Caenorhabditis elegans: one gene and its partners. The protein of the gene in region 3 interacts with the protein of the main gene of each other region in a pairwise test. Each region holds a gene or a part of one and is shown on either strand. Other genes may lie near its edges.

The links.
Region 1: the proteins of allo-1 (region 3) and zhp-2 interact in a two-hybrid assay, tested with the Caenorhabditis elegans proteins (one large-scale study listed by BioGRID).
Region 2: the proteins of allo-1 (region 3) and F11G11.5 interact in a two-hybrid assay, tested with the Caenorhabditis elegans proteins (one large-scale study listed by BioGRID).
Region 4: the proteins of allo-1 (region 3) and F37A4.5 interact in a two-hybrid assay, tested with the Caenorhabditis elegans proteins (one large-scale study listed by BioGRID).

Annotation. Positions count from the first base shown.
Region 1 is NC_003279.8:8,484,748-8,489,596, forward strand, and holds zhp-2 (Zip homologous protein 2), read right to left. Parts: upstream 2,316-4,849; 5' UTR 2,297-2,315; coding exon 2,194-2,296; intron 2,143-2,193; coding exon 2,063-2,142; intron 2,013-2,062; coding exon 1,899-2,012; intron 1,854-1,898; coding exon 1,509-1,853; intron 1,336-1,508; exon of another isoform or gene 1,335-1,335; coding exon 1,254-1,334; 3' UTR 1,063-1,253; downstream 1-1,062. Other genes in the region: D1081.6 (Carn_acyltransf domain-containing protein), read right to left, coding at 1-166, 553-609, 663-947; lotr-1 (HTH OST-type domain-containing protein), read left to right, coding at 2,896-2,964, 3,011-3,144, 3,190-3,504, 3,550-3,753, 3,823-3,998, 4,045-4,117, 4,170-4,417, 4,464-4,849.
Region 2 is NC_003280.10:4,855,296-4,860,103, reverse strand, and holds F11G11.5 (Membrane protein BRI3), read right to left. Parts: upstream 2,182-4,808; 5' UTR 2,172-2,181; coding exon 2,127-2,171; intron 2,035-2,126; coding exon 1,683-2,034; intron 1,582-1,682; coding exon 1,460-1,581; intron 1,410-1,459; coding exon 1,257-1,409; 3' UTR 952-1,256; downstream 1-951.
Region 3 is NC_003282.8:10,694,086-10,699,632, forward strand, and holds allo-1 (Allophagy receptor allo-1), read right to left. Parts: upstream 2,988-5,547; 5' UTR 2,984-2,987; coding exon 2,923-2,983; intron 2,709-2,922; coding exon 2,391-2,708; intron 2,335-2,390; coding exon 1,652-2,334; intron 1,497-1,651; coding exon 1,350-1,496; 3' UTR 1,221-1,349; downstream 1-1,220. Other genes in the region: R102.4 (Beta_elim_lyase domain-containing protein), read right to left, coding at 1-47, 231-288; R102.11 (uncharacterized protein), read right to left, coding at 4,376-4,507, 4,559-4,740, 5,418-5,481. UniProt on the Caenorhabditis elegans protein: Autophagy receptor, which is required for allophagy, an autophagic process in which paternal organelles, including mitochondria and membranous organelles, are degraded in early embryos.
Region 4 is NC_003281.10:6,709,301-6,714,287, forward strand, and holds F37A4.5 (Mov34/MPN/PAD-1 family protein), read left to right. Parts: upstream 1-2,568; 5' UTR 2,569-2,643; coding exon 2,644-2,726; intron 2,727-2,772; coding exon 2,773-3,015; intron 3,016-3,129; coding exon 3,130-3,688; intron 3,689-3,733; coding exon 3,734-3,808; 3' UTR 3,809-3,891; downstream 3,892-4,987. Other genes in the region: Chromatin-remodeling complex ATPase chain isw-1, read right to left, coding at 36-114, 159-348, 398-536, 632-700; Ankyrin repeat-containing protein F37A4.4, read left to right, coding at 4,405-4,477, 4,562-4,987.

The DNA of each region.
Region 1 (4,849 bases), on a different chromosome or scaffold from region 3:
CTTCATCCTTCATGACTGTACTTTTTGCAGAAGATGAGGTTTCTTCCAAGCACTCAGAAATGTTGGATTCTTGAGTTTTGCTGGTAGAATTGATCACAGGCTCATCTACAAAGGCTCTCGTTTGTTCAGCATACCAGTACCAATCTCGATTTGTGAAGTTTGATTTCTAAAAAAAAAATAAAGAACAGGATGAATTAGTTATTGAGTACAAGGGTGTCGATTTTTCGATTTTTTATAAAATCGAAAAATTCTCGTTTTTCAATTTTTAAAAATCGAAAAATTCTCGTTTTTCAATTTTTAAAAATCGAAAAATTCTCGTTTTTCAATTTTTAAAAATCGAAAAATTCTCGTTTTTCAATTTTTAAAAAATCGAAAAATTTTCGTTTTTCAATTTTTAAAAAATCGACAATTAATTATATAATTCAAAAATTTTCGTTTCTTGATTTTCCGATATTTCCTGAAAAAACTTGAGAAATCAAAAAAAAGCTCGAAAAATGACACCCTTGATTTAGAACCAACTGAAAACTCTTTGCAAAACTTTTGAAAACTCACCGAAAGTCGATTATTTTCTGCTTGTTCCACTGCAACTTTGTGTCGTAGATTTTTGGCCTGAAACACAAGGCAAAGTAAAAGAATAATTCCAGAATAAAAGCAAATCTCACCATTTCTTTATACATCTCCGAATTCTGATGACCTCCGATATATTGATCCATTTCTGCAAGCAATCGTTGGTAACTGTCCGGAAGTGGCTGTTTCGGTGGTTCAGGGGCATATATATTCAAATCGTAGAGTGGTATTTGCACTTGGAACGGTTTCGAAGATCCGGGAACGGTTATTTTTCGGATTCCGATTACTTTTGGCTCTTCTTCAGCAATACATGCGAGAGACGGTACAAATCGAAGAGACGTTGACAAAGAAGAAGTAGGAGTTTCGCAATTTGGAGACATTTTTCGAGAGAGTGGAGTTCGAGCCACCTGGTGGTGTGGTGATGGCTGGAGGAAAGAATGAGGAAACGCTAACCGCATTTACTGGAATTGCGCGTCGCGTTTTGTACCATAAAACAATCAATAAATCTTTAGTTTACAAAATCTGCAGGTGATGTTACAAAACGATAAAGATGCAAATACTGTGAAAGTGAAGAGGGGAATAAATATTCTTTGGGAGATATTACGGGGGCAATAAACCTTTGATTTTGAATAGAAATAAAAATTGTGGAAAAAGGATAAAAATACGGAGGTGACATACAGGGAGTTTTATTGACGAAGAATTGGCGACGGATGCTCAAGTCCTGCGCCAAACAATCTATTCCTATGATCACGGCGACTATAATCGATCTGGAAAAAATTACACTTAATCAATCACAGCAATTGCGAGCGGATTAATGAAAGTTCCATGATTCAAATGATTTCTTGGCAATACACCCGGCAGCCAGATGTTTTGGATTGACATTAAAGATTATCCAAAATACCAAGTGTACTGGGGACTGGAAAACAGGAGATAAAACTAACATTGGAGAGAGGAGTGCTGGTGAGAATCTTGGACGTTGACTGATCACGCAGGTTTAATGAAAATTCATGACTAGCTTTTCGCATCACAGAGGGAGGACCAGTTCGGGATATCTTCGAGAAAGGCGGCTCAGTTCGAGTGTTCGATCGGCGTTTATTTACAGAAAGATTTTGAGATGGTTGTTCGCGTAGTTCCTTCAGCCTGGCCATCAGCTGATTCTTTTCCTCTTTTGCATTTTTCAGTTTGACATTATCTTCAAGGAAAGCTTTCTTTCGTTTTTCGATTTCTTGAGTCTTTTCCACGTGTTTTGAGCGTGCTTCGGCGAATCGCTCGGTATCTTTTTTCGCCTGAAATTATTAATTTTATTGGTTATTCAATTGTCAACAGATAACCTCGGCGTTTTTACATTTTACATATATTTCTCGCTGTTTCGCCTGAAATGCGACAACTTGTTTCAGCTCGTTGACCAGGTCTGACGCCAGCTGTCGCGGATCTTTGAACAATTCCTGAGATGGTTTTTTATTTAAATTGAATTTTAAGTCGACTGAAACATTACCATCAAATCAGGTCGCAAGTTTTTATTGATTTCATCCACCTTTAGCGGTTTTTTACACAAGTAGCACTGCGAGTTAAATGCTAAAAATGCTATATAAATTCTAGCTAAATTTATTATTAAAATTTACTAACCAGCTTTCGTACAGTTTTGACAGAAAACGTGACCGCATGCTGTTAGGTACAGTTTCGTTTGATTTGGTTTAATGCCACAATGATTGCATTGGATCCAATCCATACGTGTTTCGAGTCTTAAAATACGATTAAATAAAGCTCAAAGACTTCTGCTAGATAACAAGTAATTATTAGAACATTCATCTCGATTATCACTATAACTCTCTAGTTATAACTATAAAACAATTTCAAAAAAGAACTTTGAATATAAAGAATGAACAAACAAAAAATGTTTGATTTTAATTAAAGACCGGCAGTGCACCTAAGTTGGATTAGCATCAGAGATCTTAATCAAGAATCAATCTTCAAGCATTACATTATTTTTGTTTATATTTTGAAACTCGATCGAGAAAGAAACAAAATTAAATAAATCGGTTTTCAAGCTTTTCAAACTTTAAGTGTATCAAAGGCGCAGTTAATTCATTGCAATAGATGGTCTCACCCGGAAAATGCGTACGCTGCAGTGGGTCTCACCGCGAAAGTGCGAATGACTAAAGTTTACGCGCGCACGGCGCGCGGCTTCAGATTCAAAATTGAAAGTTCATCTATTTCGTGGATATTTTTCAATGGATTTGGTTTTATGTACTTTTTATTTGCCGTGATCTTCGAATATTTGTTTTAATCAAGTTGCAGTTTAGGTCCATCGTTAACTTATCCCGCGAGATGCCTGCTAATGAGCTTTTCGGAGATTCTGATCCGGAAGGGGATGAAATTTTTGAAAGAGTTCGAAAGGTATTCAATTATCTGTGAAGGTAAATAGTAATAAACACATTTTCAGGTGCAACCAAAGTCGATCAATGTAACTGAGAATCAAAAGGTAGACCCTATGCGTAAAGTCAAAATCGAGCTTCAAGCTGTTTTGGTTGCGGAAAAAATACCAATTAGTACAGAAGAAATCAGACGGCGTCTGCTGTGAGTTTCTTTTTGCGAAAAATAACGACACTACCTTTGTTTCAGGGATTCTTATGGTGCATGTCCTGATCCGAAAAGATATAACTGTTCGACTTTGGACGATCTTCTTCAAGCATGCTCGGAGTCAATTGTACACACTTTCGGCCGTGATGGAATACACCGATATGGGCCAAGAACTACTGAAGCCAACCAAGATATTATCGAAATGGTCCAGCAGCAGTCGAGCTCAAAACGCCCGGCCCGCTCGTTTTTAGGTTCAGGAGCTACTAATAACCTCAGCACTCATGGGTCATCATTCCGGGCATTCAGAGGTCCGTATGCGTCAGAGGAAATCGCTAAATCGAGAGGAACACCTGAGCAGTATGTGGAAGTTTAAAAAATCGTTGTCAATGATTTGTTTTTTAGATTCAAAGCAAGACACAAGTTGGGTCCAGCAAAAACAATTTCTCGCGTAAAAAACCTTGCAGAGGTTTTGAAAGAATATGCTGATGAGATAGGAGTTTCACATCCTGATGAGCCAAATCGCAAGATTGTAACACTGGCAGCTCTTGCCAATAAGTTCAAACAGTTGTATTGTTTACCAGCATGGGGAAAGAACATATCGGAAAGGTAATTCACTTGCGCAAAAGTATTGTTGCGCTTTTATAGTCAGTTCTAAATTGAATGTTTTGATTTCAGTGAACTATACATTCAGCTCAATGTTCCTCCTTTCAACGAATATCTGCATTTCTGGCGTCTTAGCGAAAAAGGTGACATCTTCGTTGATTGTATTGATCGTGACAATGCCGATCCAACTCAAAAAAGTGAACAAAATCCGTCAGCAGATGTTTCTATTCAATCTGAATCTTTTGGCGGTAAAAGTGATCAAATGATGCTTTCCAATAGTAATTTATTTTACAGGTTCAGCTTCAGCGTTTGAACAATCTGTAGTATCCGCTCCTTCAACTATTAGAGATCAAACATCCGATTCCTTGTAAGGGCACATTTTGATCACTGTTTTTCAGATGTTATTTATCAATTTTCAGTGACGGGTTCAACAGTTTCGAAGTGCCCCCAGAAAATGGAAGCAAAGATTCAAAAATTTTCAACTCGAATCAAGAAAGCATCGATGACTATCCAGGAAATGCTATATCTCGAGATCGAACCGCTGATATGACCGACATTGCATTGCGCTTTGGAACTGTCTCTGTGGCAAGCCAACAATGTCCGGTATCTTCGTCACTCGTTCCACAAAATGGAATTCTTCGTCAGTCGCGTGCTCAAGAAGACGACAGTGAGAAAACATTTTCGCTGCTAATGAACAAATATTGAATTTACAGACAACACATCTATTCTAACTATTCAATCATCTCGTCGCAATCATTCAGTGCTTCGTCATCGTACGATCAAGCCTCGCAATCCAACACAAAATCTTGCTGAAGTCGTAAAAACTCATGGTAGCATTCCTTATGAAGCGCTTTCGGATTGTGATAAGATTATCGTCGACTTAGGAAAGAACATTTTCAAAGTTTATGCAACTCAACCTGGAGAAATGATGGTCCGCCTTTGTGATCCCCACGTTGACACGACTACATTGCCACTCCTAGAGAACAATCTTCGGGATCCTGTCGAGTCTGATTTACGTTGGATGACACTGGGAAATTCCCATATCAAGAAACAATCTGTTAAAGTGGTCAAGCCTGCAATGTTTATTGCGCCACGCGGA
Region 2 (4,808 bases), on a different chromosome or scaffold from region 3:
ACTTTCTTTGGCCTTTTGTGCCCAATAAATAGTTTTTCTTAGCTCGTTTTTTGTTGTTTTTTAATGTTAATTACTTTCTCAATTGTTTTCTCAACAGCAATAAGTTCTCCTCTGTTGTTGGTAGGTGCTCCGTACACCGGCCCAAATTCGTTGTCCTCACCTAGTCTTCTCCCTAGTAAAATTCGGGATTGATAACTGAAATGTTTTTGTTAAAACTATAATTTATATATAAATAAATAAATATATATATAAATAAATAAAGAATTTTAATTCAATAAGCACCTTCTTCTTCTTTCTTCAGTTTCTTAGCTTTCTGTCAATTTTGTTCCTTTGTAAGTCCGCTTTCTTGTGGCTGATGGATGGTTTTGATACTGCAGGAGTAACCGGCTTGAAAGATCATGCTTATTATACAGCCAATAACAAGGTAGCCGGTCTCGACACGACAAATTTATCAATAAATGCAAACGGGTCTGCGCCTTTGAGGAGTACTGTAGTTCCAAACTTCTCGTTGTTGCAGGATTTTATCTGATGTTCCATAAATTTTCAAACAATTTTATTTCATAAAAATTATTTTATTTCATAATGTCCCGAGAAATTGATTTTTAATTAATTGCGAGGTTTTGAACAATTTCGCGATTCCTGCCTCAAAAATACGATACCTGGTCTCGAAGCGATTGTTTTTCTCAAGTGCGCTTTTAAGAAGTACTGTAGTTCCCAACTCCTCGTTGTTGTAGGATTTTATTTATGTTCCATAAACTTTCACCCGTTTCTTTGAAAAATATATTTACAAAAACAATAAATTTTTAAGAAACTGGCGAAAAACCAGGAAAAATCGAAATAATTCCGTAACTACAGTACTCCACAAAGGCGCACGTTTTTTCGGAATTAATGAAATCTGTCGATGCGAGACCTGGTACTTTTCTTTTGGAGAACTCATATCAAACTTCTAGATAATCGGTAATATCTTTATTTCAATTGTTTCAATGATATTCACAGCGACACGCATAATCTGAATGGGTTTTGGAATAAGGCTTCGAGGGAAAAGGGGGAGGAAGAGTGATGAATTCAGTATCTGAACTGACTTCGTTGCATAAAATACTAAACATAAAACGGTAACACAAAAACACACTCGTGACCAGTACAGTTCACTAATTTTACAATTTTTGATTATGGTATGGAACAGTTAATATGTCTACTTGGTAGGAAGGGGGAAATAATAATACTACAGCGGATAAAATATAAATTGAAATTTCTTCTTAAGCGAGTCGATTACAGTGAGTGCATCGATTTTGAACGGTACACGGGACACAGCACAAGAAGATCAATCCAAATGGGAATGTGAAGATTGTGAGCATAATCAGACATAGAAGACAGCACATATCAGTTTGACGAGTGATCACTCCAACGGTCTGAAAGTTTTTTAATTGATTGATTGAATAAAGATTTAATCAAAGCTTACACAACGACGGCATGGTGCTCCAGGTTGAACATGAACTATGACATTACTTCCAGCAGGATTTTGAATACGAACTGCTCGAACGATCTGCTCAATTGCGGCCGGTTGTGGGAGACGCGTTTGTGCTGAAAATGTTTAATATAAAAAACGGATTACTTATTTGTTATTGTTTGAAATTAAAAGTTATTTGTTGCTTTCCGAGCTTCAAAGATTTATTAAAACTTACTAATCTGTGGTGGCTGGTAGTAGATCGGCGGTTGCCCTCCATTGTGATATTTAGGATCAGTCGATCCACCGTACGTCGGTGCAGCTGGATATGACATGGCAGCCTGATAGGATGGTGGTGGCATATCGTAGGAACTCATAGTAGGAGCTGGTCCAGCAGAAGCATGCGGTGGTGGTGGTCCTGCTGGAACTGGAGCGCTGACATGAACTTCTGAAGAGTTTTGAATGTCTGTGCTGGGATAGACAAATCCAGCCGGTGGAGGTGGACGAGACGGCGATGTTGGCTGTTGCTCGGGAGCTGATGGAGCCGATGGCTGAGCTGATGAGCTTGACATTCCTTCGTCAGTTGGAGGCTGAAATTTTATTTTGAATTATTTTTAATGTATAGAACTCGAGAAAATATAATTCAAGTTCAAATGGCTTTTTAATCAAAAAAAAAACTCACACTGTCTGGAAGAGGCTGCTTAACTGGATCCTGATGACCGGTCATTTCTAGAAATCTGAAAACGTGAGCGTTTGAGTGAAAATCTCGAGAATAATTTTACAAATGAAAAATGAATGCAACGATTGGAAAATAACCAATATTCCGAGAAGAGTTCAATTTTATAAAAGATCTTATTATTTTTTGTGGTCTTTATCTATAAATATAGCCTAATCTAATGAAAAAGCGAATCCTAATGAAATATTAAGAAAAGAAGAAAACACGTTGTCAAATATAAATAACCAAGAAGAAAAGAAGAGTCGACTGTACTGGGATTTGAGCAAAACACTGAGAAACAAAAATAGAAAAATTGAGCATTCTGATTACATTTAATTTTTTTAAAAAAGGCAGAAGGAGAAACAAATTATGAGAAAGACATAAAAAAAAGAACAAATCAAACAAAAAAACGGGCTATTTAAAGAAATCTGTTCAAATACAAAAAAAAAAAACAAGATTTGGCGTTGGAGATGATTTCCCTTGGTTGCAGACGATGTTTTTCTTCTGAAAAAATAAATCTTTGTTTTTATCGATTTTTTCCTAAAAAACACAGTGAGTGGTGGTAATGGAGGGTTCACTTTGTGATAAAAATGTATTCAGCGCGGACAAAATGATAATATGATAACACTGGCCAACGAATGAGACAGAGACTGAATTGACGAGAGAGTGAATGGAAGAGGAGACGATGAGAGAAAAATCGTTTGAAACAGTGTTTGCTGCTGTGGTCGGTGTGTCCCAGCACTCTATATTAATATGATAATTTCAACATGCAACAGTGACATTTTATTCAAAAGAGCCAGGGATACCACCGATGAATGTTAAATAATCAAAATTATCACAATTGAATAATCTGGGTTACTGTAGTTCAACTATCTGGATAATTTCGAGAGGAACAGATTTGATTGATAAAAAAAAAGCCAAGCAGTTTTTAGCTTTTGTAGGATGTAAGTTTTATAACTTGACAGAAAATACCTATTTTGGCAAAAAAAAATTTCTCGTTTTCTATAGATTTCAACAATAAAAACGTCGATTTGCCTCTGACACTTGAAATTAGAGACAAAGTGACTATTTTAATTTTAAATTAAAAAATAGTAAGCGAAAATATCCTACTATCAATAATATTATTACCCATACGCGGAATATTGCGGCTTTTGTGCGCCAAAAGTACGGTACCGGGTCTCGACACGACAATTTTGTTATATGCAAACTGATAAGATTACTGTAATTTCAAATTTTTGTTGTTGTGGAATTTTAATCGATTTTCTATAATGTTTCTCGCGATTTGTTAAAATTATTATTTTAATCAAAAAAAAAATGAAAAATTGATGGAAATTCGAAAGTTTTTTTTTTAGAATTTTCAGTTTTTTTGTCGTGTCGAGACCGGGTACCGTATTTTTGACGTAAAAGGTAATAGCAGAAAGAAAATTCAGAGCTTTCTGTGATTGGAATTTCTGAAAATTAACTATTTTTTGCAAAAAAGCTAATATCAATGTGAACAATCTCAAACACAAGAAGCGTCTGCTTCGTTTGTTTTCAATTGAATGTGAGATATGGATCTCTAGTCTCGCGCGTTTTCTAATCTCAATAGGGGAAAATCAAAAGAAGATTATGCCATATGAAATACATTTGTCCCGTGTCTGACCACGAGATCTTTTTTCTTTTTAATATTTCGCAATATTTCAGGTATTGTTCTAGAACATGTTCTGATAACACAATGAGAAATATTCTAGGCGAAAATAGTTTGTGGGGGACAGTAAATAACTAAGAAAATTGAAAAATCTTTAAAAAAAAAACAAAACACATGTATTAATGTTTTAGAATTTATCCCTGGAGACGTCAGACCGAAACAGAAAGAAAAAAGAAGACGTTGTGTAGTAGAATACAACAACCATGGCGACTTCAAGAAGAGGACGACAACCGGTTTAGTGATACAATAGTCAAAGAAATTGGCAGAGGGAGACGAAAATGTGACTCATTAAATTTTCAATGAAATTCTTACGAATAATCAGTATAAAATTTTCAACTTTTATGATATTGCAAATTGTATCTGGAATATTAATCATTGAGCTAATAAAAGCATTGTCGCTACTCAAAAATCATTGAATTAGTTATTTTTCAACAATATATCCAAAACTTTAATCAAATCGATTTATGAACAGCTAAAACATTCGTCATTCTTGCTCGTTAGGATCGAGACGAACACAAGATAGAAACATTCTAGAGAAAATAGAGAAAAATGAGCAAATCAGAGTGCAACTTCCGGGCGGAAATGGAAGGAAAACGAGAGAAGATAGAGAAAAAAGAAGAAGACGAAAAAATGTAAAATCTGTCAACGATGAGAAGACGAAATATTATTACCCATACGCGAAAATTTGCGCCAGAAATGCGGTACTCGGTCCCGACACGAAATTGTTTTTAAATTTTAGTACTGTAGTACTAAACTTTCGTTCTGGTGGAATTTTAAAGAATTTTACAGTTTTTGCAAGATTTGCAAAGTTTTTAATTGTTTTGTAGTTTTTCAAGTAAATATGTTTTTAACGGAAATCTATGAAAATTCGATTGAAAAAAGCGTGTCGAGACCCGTATTTTTCGCGAAAAATCAAAAAATTTTTGGTCTGGACAATGTTGAGAAGTAGTGGAGGTGAAGAG
Region 3 (5,547 bases):
ATTAACTTTAGTCATTGCTCCTCTAATTGAAAAGTTTCGAATGCAAACTGAAATTATTTCTTACAATTCGATTTTTTAATCAATTTCTCGAATGAAATATACAACTTCTTTCTTAAGTAATAGAAAAAAAATAATGATATAGAAGTTATCAATATGTTTTTGAAGGTTTAGATGATATTTGGAGAAAGGAAGTACGTAGAAAAGCGGAGGACTATATACAAAATGCTAACTTTTGATCTTGGTTTGCAAGTTGAGTGCTGTTAATACAGTGAAGTGTCTAGATATCATCAGTAGGCAGAAATCATGACAATCGTTTCAATAGTGTCGATGAAATTATGTAATTGAAATACCGATATGAAAATGAGAGCATGATAACACAGATCAAACATTGTAATTGTAGTCAAGGGTGTCAGTGTCCCGTAACAATGACAAAAACGGGACAGCGGGAATTCTCGTTCCCGTGAAAATTTTAAAAACGGGACAATGGGAATTCCCGTTCCCGTGGAAACACCCCAAAATCGGGACAACGGGACAAACGGGACACGGGAATTGACAACCTTGATTGTAGTTTTTATTATTTTTAACCTTGATCATTTGTAAAAACTTCCATATTAGCCAGACGCAAAATTTCGCAATTTTCGCGCTAAAAACATTTCCCGGTCTCGACGCGAAAAAGTTTTGTAAACTAAAAAATTGTGCGCGCCTTTAAAGAGTACTGTATTTATAAAACTTTTGTTGGTGCGAAAATTTCTCCGAATTGTTTCGTTCAAAATGCATTTATTTATTTGAAAAAAAAACTAAAACTAAACAATTAACAATACATACAATATAACAAGTCGCAATAACAACTCTGAAAAATCGATTAAAATTAAAAAATTCCACAGCATCGGAAGTTTGAAATTACAGTACACTTTAAAGGTGCACCCCCGTTTGCTTTTAACAAAAAAATGTCGTGTCGATACAGAGTACCGTATTTTTGGCGCAAAAATAGATCGATTATCTCTCAGTTAAATTTCATTATGAATTTTCTCGAATCGTTAGATCTTGAATATATGTACGTTTGTATCGTTATTGTTTTCACTCACCATTTCCTAATACTATAACCCGTCGTGTGAGCAAAGAGTACATCTTTTACAAAAACCTGCAATTATTAAATTATTTTTTTCATTTCAATTTACCAATAAACTACCGACTAAATTCGAGTAATTGCTGAGAAATGATTAGAATTTTTTCTACATCATAATTTTTATTGACACGGGTTTTGCAAGATAATATACAAAATAGAACAAATCATGAAAACAAGAATTTAAAAGTATTGAATGTACACAATGTGGCGTGATAAATGAGAATTATTGGTGGGAGATAAAATGAACAATTTGACGGCTTAGCTCGAGAAGTCTTCCAGCACTCCAAGTTGACGACATTTCTGCTTCAGACTGTTGATCACCTGCTCGTTCGAAGCGAGCATGCGGGTGCTCTCCTGTTGGTCCTGCAAGCTGGTATTTTTTGCAAAAAATTGTTAAATGAAATCTTATGTTTGTCGTTGAAAAACAACGTTGTTTTAGCACTAAATTAAAAATTTAAGATAGCAATGACCGCTTGAACGGTTTCTATGGTTAACTAATTTAAAAAAAAGTTATCAAAACCGCACCTCATGCAGAGCACTAACTATCTCATCCTTGTTGCTCGACTCTTCTACAGATTTCTTCAGTGCTTCTTTAGTTTCCTCCAATTCTTTTCTCAGAGTGATAAGCTCATGTTCCAGATTCAATGAATATGTGGTTCTTTCCGCCAACTGCGATGCAACAAAAGAGGCTGGTGGATCAAAGACAGAGCCTCCTCTTGCATGTTTCAACTGATCCTCCGCCAGCTTGCGACGCTCAGATTCTTCGAGCCGGCGAGCAACCTCTTCATCAACCAGATTTCTCAATTTCGAGTTCTCCTCCAAAAGTCTATCAATAGTAGTCTTCGAGTCACTGTACTGAGCGTTGCTGTTTTTCTCGGCTCCCTGCTTCCACAGCTCGGCCACCTGTTGGCTCTGAGCCAATTGCACTTTGAGCTGCTCGATAGCCGAGTCTTTCTCCTGGATAACTTTCTCTACGCTAGCAGCTGATTCTTGCATCTTCAATTCGAACTCGTTCTTCATAACTTCCATTTTCTCAGATAGTTTCTTGTTTTCTTCAATTTCATGGTTTGAATTTGATTTCAGAAGAGTGGATTCAGACATTTTTGCAGCTTGAAGTTGAGATTTCAGCTCGCTCACAAGAAGAAGTGATGTTCTCAAAGCGATTTCTGTTGATTCAACGTCCGCCACGTTCACAAGAGAGGAATTATCTGGAATTTACTTGGTCAAATAAATAATTTATGATAAGTTTTGGTTTAAAACTAACTGGAACATTCAGACTCGGACACAATAGACATATTCTGAAGAGTGAATTCAGGAGATTGACTCGAATTGACAAGAGACGCGAGAGGAGTTGACATTGGAGTACGATCTTCCTTCAAAGTTTCGGTAAGGAGCGGTGTTTCAACGATTGATGCTTCAGGTGTACGATCTGGATCTTCGTCTTTCAACGACTCCGGGGCCTTCGATCCGACAGGAGATGGAGCGCGCTGTGATTGAAGTGTATTCGGCATCTGGATTGAAATTGGCTCGATTCGGATACTCTGCTGAATACTCCATTGATCCTCACGATCTTCTGTTTCAGCTGGAATTTTTTTTTGAATTTTTAAAAATCCTCGATTGTGAAATAACAAATAAATCGATTTCAGAAAGTTGACCCATAATTTCAAAAAATGCGAAGAAATTTCGAAATCATGATGCAAACAATTTATTTCTAGACAAAAGTTATATTTTCTCATTGGGTTAGCTTGGGAGCTTGAATTTTTAGGTCCTTTTTTTAAAATAAAATAAAAACTTACGGTCAAAAGTCTCGATTATCTCGAATTCGTCATTCGAGAGGGAGTCAAGCGGATCGTTCATTCTCTGAAAAATATTACTTAGTGAGTGATAATAACAAAATCTCGAGTTGAAAAATGAGAAAAATATATGAGAAGAGTGAGGTCGTATGATCGAGAATGCAAACACTAAGCACTGGTTACTGCTAGCAATATATAAAGGAGAGTAAAATCATTGAGAGAGTTAGAGTGTGATTTCGAAACATTCTAGGTCGTCTGTCTTCTACGTCTCAGTGTAAAAACGACTCGAGGAATCATGTGTTTGCCAGAGAATGAATCAGCAGCTCTTGGAGACGCAGGCATAAAATGTTCGAATTGGAAAACAGCTGATGCGGGTCGCAGTGACCAGTGGGAAATGTCGTTTTTGAAGGTCGTTAGGAATTTTTTGATATTTTCCAGAGTCGACTTGTTAAGAAAAAACTATATTGCTAATAGATGGATAGGAATGCAATTAAAATTGTTGGGAAATCATGCGTTCAGAAGAAGCGAAGAAATTATAACATTTTCCAACAAATTTTCAGATTTGTGTCGGCGTTTCGTTAAAAATTCAATTTTCATTTCTACAATTGTAAATTCTGTCAATCAATTTGACTTGAAAAAACGAAAAAATGAAGCAAAAATAAGGAATAGGAAGAAATGCAGCCTGTAACACAAAAAATGGCGAAATGAGCGCTCTCGTCTGGTTGTTTTGAGGAAGACGAGACACTGGAGGAATTGAAGAGACGCAGGCAGGCAGACAAAATTCGTTTTTCGCGGTTTTTCAAATTTGACCGTTTTCGGTGCGTTTTTCTCCATTAATATCAATAATTGGTTAGGAATTTTTATTTTTTTTTTTTAAATATAGCTTTAAAAAAAAGATTTCTGAAATTCTAAATACCCTTTTCCAATCGATTCCGAAAAATGAAGAATTTATTGTAGCTGAGATTTTAAAGGGTACACTAAATATTGATGACTAATGTCGCAGTTTTCTGAAACTTCAATGCGGATTGAAATTCGTCACGAGAAAATATTTATTATGATTCCCGGTAAATTGGAAAAAAAAAACATAAACTTTGTCTTGAGGCGAGATCCAAATCTCGGTGCGTCTTTAGGTACGCATTTTTTAAACTTGTGAAACACTGTGCAAAATATTGAAATAGACCACCATTAACTACATATACAGCTGCATTCCTCTTTGAAAGCGCAAGCCCCAGTTCAACATTTTATTTGTCGTTTCAGGACCTCAGAATCCACAAGGCTCATATTTTACAGAACACTCGTTATAAGCATTTTATTTGAAAATTATTACAGAATCCACGTCGTACTAGATTCTAGGAACTTCATTCTGTAACTTTTGAATGTTTAACATTTTATTTTTGTACTATTTGTGTTATGACTGAAAGAAAAGATGTTATATAAGCAAAAACCATTGTACATATCAATGTATCGTCTGATTGTTGATCGCACGTCTTCTTCGACCACACCCACCACCGTAACCGCCACCGTATCCACCACCACACCCTCCGCATCCACCACTGCATCGAGGAACGTATTGAGGAACCATACAGGGCTGAAAAGATATAACAACAATGAAATTAGGCAAATTTTACAGTAAAATTACCTGATACATGGTTACCGGTGGCGGGCACGAGCAGGCAGGCGGAGGAGGTGGACACGGGATTGGCATCGGGCACGGTGGAGGTGGAGGTGGCATACATACTGGAGAAGGGGGAGGTGGTAGGCAGGAGCATCCCATGTTACATCCACCACAGGAACTTCCACATCCGCATCCGCCACCGCCTCCTGAATAGTATGAGATAAGTAAAGGAAAAAGTGTTGGAAAATTTCTAGTCCGTTAAAATAAATTACAGGCTTCTGGGAATTAATTGTTTGTTCCTACATCTTACATACGTCATATATCATAAAGAACTTTATTTTGCTAATAATAAAAATTGAGGTACAAGAAAATGTATCTGTTACTTAAAATCGTTGTTTCCTTTCGAGTGTTGCCTAACTTTTGTTTTTAGCAAGTAAATATTTTTGTTCCAAAATTGGGCAATATGTTGCCACCCGATGTCAAGGTTTTCGTGTAAATTTTAAGAAACATATTGAGATGTCGACAAGATTGTCTCTGGTATCCATTTCTCATGAAACTCACGTAATTGTCTGATGTCTTATCAAAATCTTATCAATGTTCTAAAAATCATCAGAAATCGTTACCGAACAAAATTTTGTGATTTTGCACGGTAATAAGATCAAAGTTTATGTCTATATTATGTTTAAAAAGATACCGCGATTAATTTTTTTTTCCAACCTTCATTTCCTGCCAACATCGAGAACGATTGCGGTTTCTAATCATGATAAAGGATATTAGTCGTTTTTTTCGAACCAATTAGTAAAAAATAAAGTCAAGCTTACTTCATATGTATTTCATTAATAACTCCACATAATAATTGGAATTTCAAATAGTTCAAACTTACCGAAACCAAACAAAAAATTGTCTACGAAGATGGGAAAAGTGAATAGTAAAAAGATCAGATTCATATTTCTGAAAAGATGAAAAATGAAGTAGAATAGTAGTAAATATAGAAAACAAAACGGTTTAAGTAT
Region 4 (4,987 bases), on a different chromosome or scaffold from region 3:
AATTATTATTCATTGGAATAAATTATAAGAGATACCATTTCGTCAGCTAAAATTCCATTGATTTTATTATGTTGAAGGGATGCGAGCCAGTTGAGTCCACGAACTTGGTAATCTCTGGAATTTTTTTTTGATGCATTATTTCATAACATTTTTTATACCTCATTTCTCCATTCTCGATGTAAAACGGACTTTTGTCGAAAATCACCAAATCATCACTTTTAATAGCATCGGCCACCATTTCTTCATCTTCTTCTTGCTCAGTTTTTCTGTGTCGATGATCTCCGTCTATTCCGTTTTTCTTCGAGGGGCGTCCACGCTTTTTGGTGTCAACTGGGGCTCCAGTTGCTACTGAAAACTTTCTTTATAAGATTTTTGCGGCTTAAACATGGACCAATACATTTCGCATCTCCAGATGATAAACAATGTGAGAAGTTTTCCGTTTTTTGTAACAATCTTTCAAATCTCTTGAAGGAATCGGCGGCGTCGGACGATTCCGGTTCATCGTCCACTTCCATTGAGGGATCGTTCCCGGAAGACTGAAACGTAGAATGTAATGTATTGTTTTATGTGAAGAATGTAAAAAATATCTTTAATAAAACGCAAAACCTATGTACATCAAAAAATTATTTACCTCCGGGATGTTGGAATCGGTGTCCATAGGCTCGTCATTTATTTCGTTCGAAGACTCGTGAACCGACATTTTCTGTGACAATCACCAATTAACAACTGTACAAATTACCTCGGGCGTTTACAGGTTTGATAAAGAAAACATTTATAATCGAACAAACCGATAATTCTAACAAAAACGTGTGAAAAAGGTAACCAGCGCGCGAAAATGAGGCAACCAGAAATTGAACAGCATTTTCGCGGTTCTCAGTGGATACGCAGACACGGCGACGCGCAAATACACAGAAAACTAATAAATGCGCGCGAATTTTAAAAATAGATGCTTGCCGGATTTCTACAGTAATCAGTTTAAAGAACTCATTGAAAAGTTTTATTCGAGAATAAAAAGTTGTACAAAAACAAGCTGTTTCTTTATGCTGACCCCGTATTTCAAATCTATGAGAAAAAGAAGGATGCTTTGAATTGTAAATCGATAAATCAGAAAGTCAATCGATAAATGTCAGCCCCTCACTTAATTCGCAGAAGAACAATATTTACAAATTCAAAAATGGCTGCCACACTTCGTCAACGATGTTTCCATCGGCTTCCACTATTTTGCGCCTTATTATCTGTTATGCTCAGTGAGCATAACAGATAATAATAACAGATAATAATAAGCATTGCTCACCGCATTTTTATCCTATGACATTTTTGAATTAAAGAAAATTGTTCCAACATATCTAATTCCGATATACTTTCTACTTCATTTTGTTCCTTTTTACATTCCACACTGCCTTGTTCATTTTGGATTGACAAAAATTAGACAAAAACCATGGAAGTTTATCGCAAGTCACGTGGGAGCAGTAATTGTAAATTTAGTAATTATTTTTGTGGTGGTGAGCACAACTTTTTATAAATCTGTGAGTCAGAATAATTGTTTTGTTTGATATACATCCCTAGAAAGCGTTTGAACCTTCAACAAGGCTATATGTCGATTTACGCAGGCTGTGTACTCCTCGAGGAGAAGTTATACTTTTTGTTGAGAATTTGTGGTCTAAACTCCTCATTTTCACTACTTTTGAGAATTCTTTTTGAGTTTTGAATTAAAATCATAATTTATTTCTTAATTATAGTGCGGTAAGCCAAAAATCAAAGTACCCTATTATAGTTTCATGCACTTTTCAGAAGGGTTTTGCCTAAAGTTCTTAAAATCTACACATGGCCGTCTTCGACGCTTTTTACGGCCATTCATTTTCAAACGAGAGAGAATTTGGAAGCTTGTGACCTACTATCAATAATTATTTTCAGATCTACCTGCTTTGTACCTTGTATCCATTATCAATACTCTCCTACACTACAGCTTTGGGAATTCTCCAGCCTCATCATAACCTCCAACTCTCAGTTTCAACAGATAGGCGTTTTTCTAATTCATTGGCCTTCTCGAAATCAACTCTAATTACTGCGTTCTACACGTTTCTCGTCATATTCATTTTCTTCTTTCCTATGAAAGTATTTGAAAATCCAAACCAACAAAAGTTGAGAGAAATTACATTAATTCTTCTAGAACTTTTGAACTTTTCTCTTATTGTTATGACCTATAATACTTTGATTATCATGTCAGTGAATGTACTCACATTCGTTGGAAAGCATGTGGTCACTGGAGTAGACTGTGTAAGTCTTAAGACTAGTCTTCTTGTTAAGCTAGATGACGGGAAGTGGATTGGAGACGTTGGGATCTTGGAACGATGTTGATTTGTTTATTTTTTTTAATAATTGTTACTTGCTTTGTTTTTTTGTAAAATAAATTAACTGAAAATTCTCCTGTGTAAGAATTTCATGCTTCTCAAAAACACAACAAAAAACATTTCACGCGGAAAATAGTTCTCGCGTGACCTTTGCCACACACTCTTCCGACCCACGTCATCCACGTGGCAACGCCGAGACTTCTTCCGAAACTCTTTTATTAACATATTCTGCTTCGCATGTTGCTTTCGATTTTTTTGTTCGTGCTCAATAGAATAGAAATTTCTGAAAAAAATGGATCGTCTTATCCGTTCGTTGTTGATGAATCAGAACAAGCAGGCAACTGATAAACTTGATCATCCGGACACTTCTGAAACGTAAGTTTAAATTTTTTATGGATTCCAGAATTTGTTGAAATTTCAGAGTGAACATTTCCTCGTTGGCTTTGCTGAAAATGCTGCGCCATGCTCGTTCTGGAATCCCGTTGGAGGTGATGGGTCTGATGCTCGGAGACTTTGTGGACGACTACACTATCAATGTTACGGACGTTTTTGCAATGCCGCAGAGTGGAACCAGTGTGACCGTGGAATCGGTGGATCCTGTGTATCAGACAAAGCATATGGACTTGCTGAAATTGGTTGGAAGAACTGAAAATGTTGTTGGATGGTGAGTAAAGGGGACCCAAGAATATAGGCAATCTTTTAGAATCTACGACGCAGCAGATATAGTTTTCAGTTTTTATAATCAAAGCCTCTATTGAAATTATATAACAACTTTCAGGTACCATTCGCATCCAGGATTCGGATGCTGGCTATCTTCTGTGGACGTAAACACTCAACAGTCTTTCGAAGCTCTCCATCCCCGTGCTGTTGCAGTTGTCGTTGATCCGATTCAGAGTGTGAAGGGGAAAGTTATGCTGGACGCATTCCGATCTGTAAACCCACTCAACTTGCAAATTCGTCCTCTCGCTCCAACTGCTGAACCACGACAGACTACTTCCAATCTTGGACATCTCACTAAGCCATCGCTAATCTCTGTTGTTCATGGTCTTGGCACCAAGTACTATTCGTTGAATGTCGCCTATCGCATGGGGTCGAATGAGCAGAAGATGTTGATGTGTTTGAATAAGAAGAGTTGGTATGATCAATTGAATATGTCAACTTACTCGGAGCTTGAGAAGAAGCAGGAGGAGAAGTTCAAGAGCATCAACAAACTGATTGCAGTCTTCAATAAGGATATTGACGAAGTTAAGGAGAAACCAATTGCAGATAAGAAAGGAAAGACTCAAGAAGAAGTCAAAAAGTTTGGAAAAATCAATGCAAAACAGCAATTGCAAATGGTAAAAATCGAATAAACGTACAGTGAAAAAATGTTTTAATTTCAGATCACTTCTAGCCTTCTCAACGATTCCCTCTGCCATCAGCTTACTGCAATGATCAACGCAAAATCAATGACATGAACTAGCAACAATTTAAATTGTGTTTCTGAATGACGTTCTTCCCATTTCCATATCACATTCAAATCAATAAATAGAATCATTGTACAGATCTTATCTGACTGCCCTCCTCATCTGCCTACTTACTACCTATTTTCTCGATTCAGCTGAATTTCGGTGTTCCATGTTCGCCCAGTACAGATATTAATTGTATAGTTTGTTGGCAGTGCAATTACACATTTGAAGAACCTGTTTGTGTGGTAGGCAGGTAGGCATACGTAGCCTTGACGGAAGTCAGGAATTTTTGTGCCTACTGCAAAGAATGGGCACTTTCATAGATAAAGTTCTTATCAAAAACAAAACATAAAACCCGTGAAAAATATAGAACTTCCTTCCGAGGTTACCATTTACGTGTTCCAATAACCTACTAACCTTGTTCTCTTGTTTTTGCTACATTTAGACTTCACAATCAATTCAGATTTTCAACAGCTTCACAGAAAGCATCCGAGGAGATCCGTAAGTTATACCAAACCAGTTTCAGCATGATTTGGCAAAATGTGCTTCAGTGTCGGTATTCAAAGTGAGACGTGTACTAGGAAGGAAATAAATAAGAGATTCGCATGAAGCTTTGTCACGCTATATTTTCAACTTTTGTTGTATTCTTTGTGGCTAGTGGAGCCGGAGAAAAACAAGGTAAATTGAAAATTTCTGATTGATTCACAAGAAAATGTCATATTCCTGGACTCTCACATGAAACTTATGTTAATTACTATTCAGGCGAATCTCAACTTCAACAAATCTACGATGAGTTATCCATTCTGTCTCGTGTAACCAACGCAATAGCTCTACAGGCTGCAGCTCTATCCAAAACTGTCAAAATCCGTGAAGTGATCACCGAGCTTCTGAAAGTTGATAATGGTAACTTCTCAAACTTGTTGAGCCTAGATCCTGCACATCTTGTCAAAAACCTTGACGAGCTTCACAAGAAAAGCCTTCAAGCTGTGAGTGGTTCCAATGAACAGTTACAACAGGATCTCAAAGAAATGATAGCGATGAATGGACTATTGGCAGCTGTAGAGTCTGAAAATTACACTGAAAAAGCAACAGTGAATTCTCTGATTGTTCTGAAAAAGGTTGATGAGAAGATGGAAATTTGTGATGAAAGTTTGATCACAATTATGTTCAATATTTCTCAGGCAATGA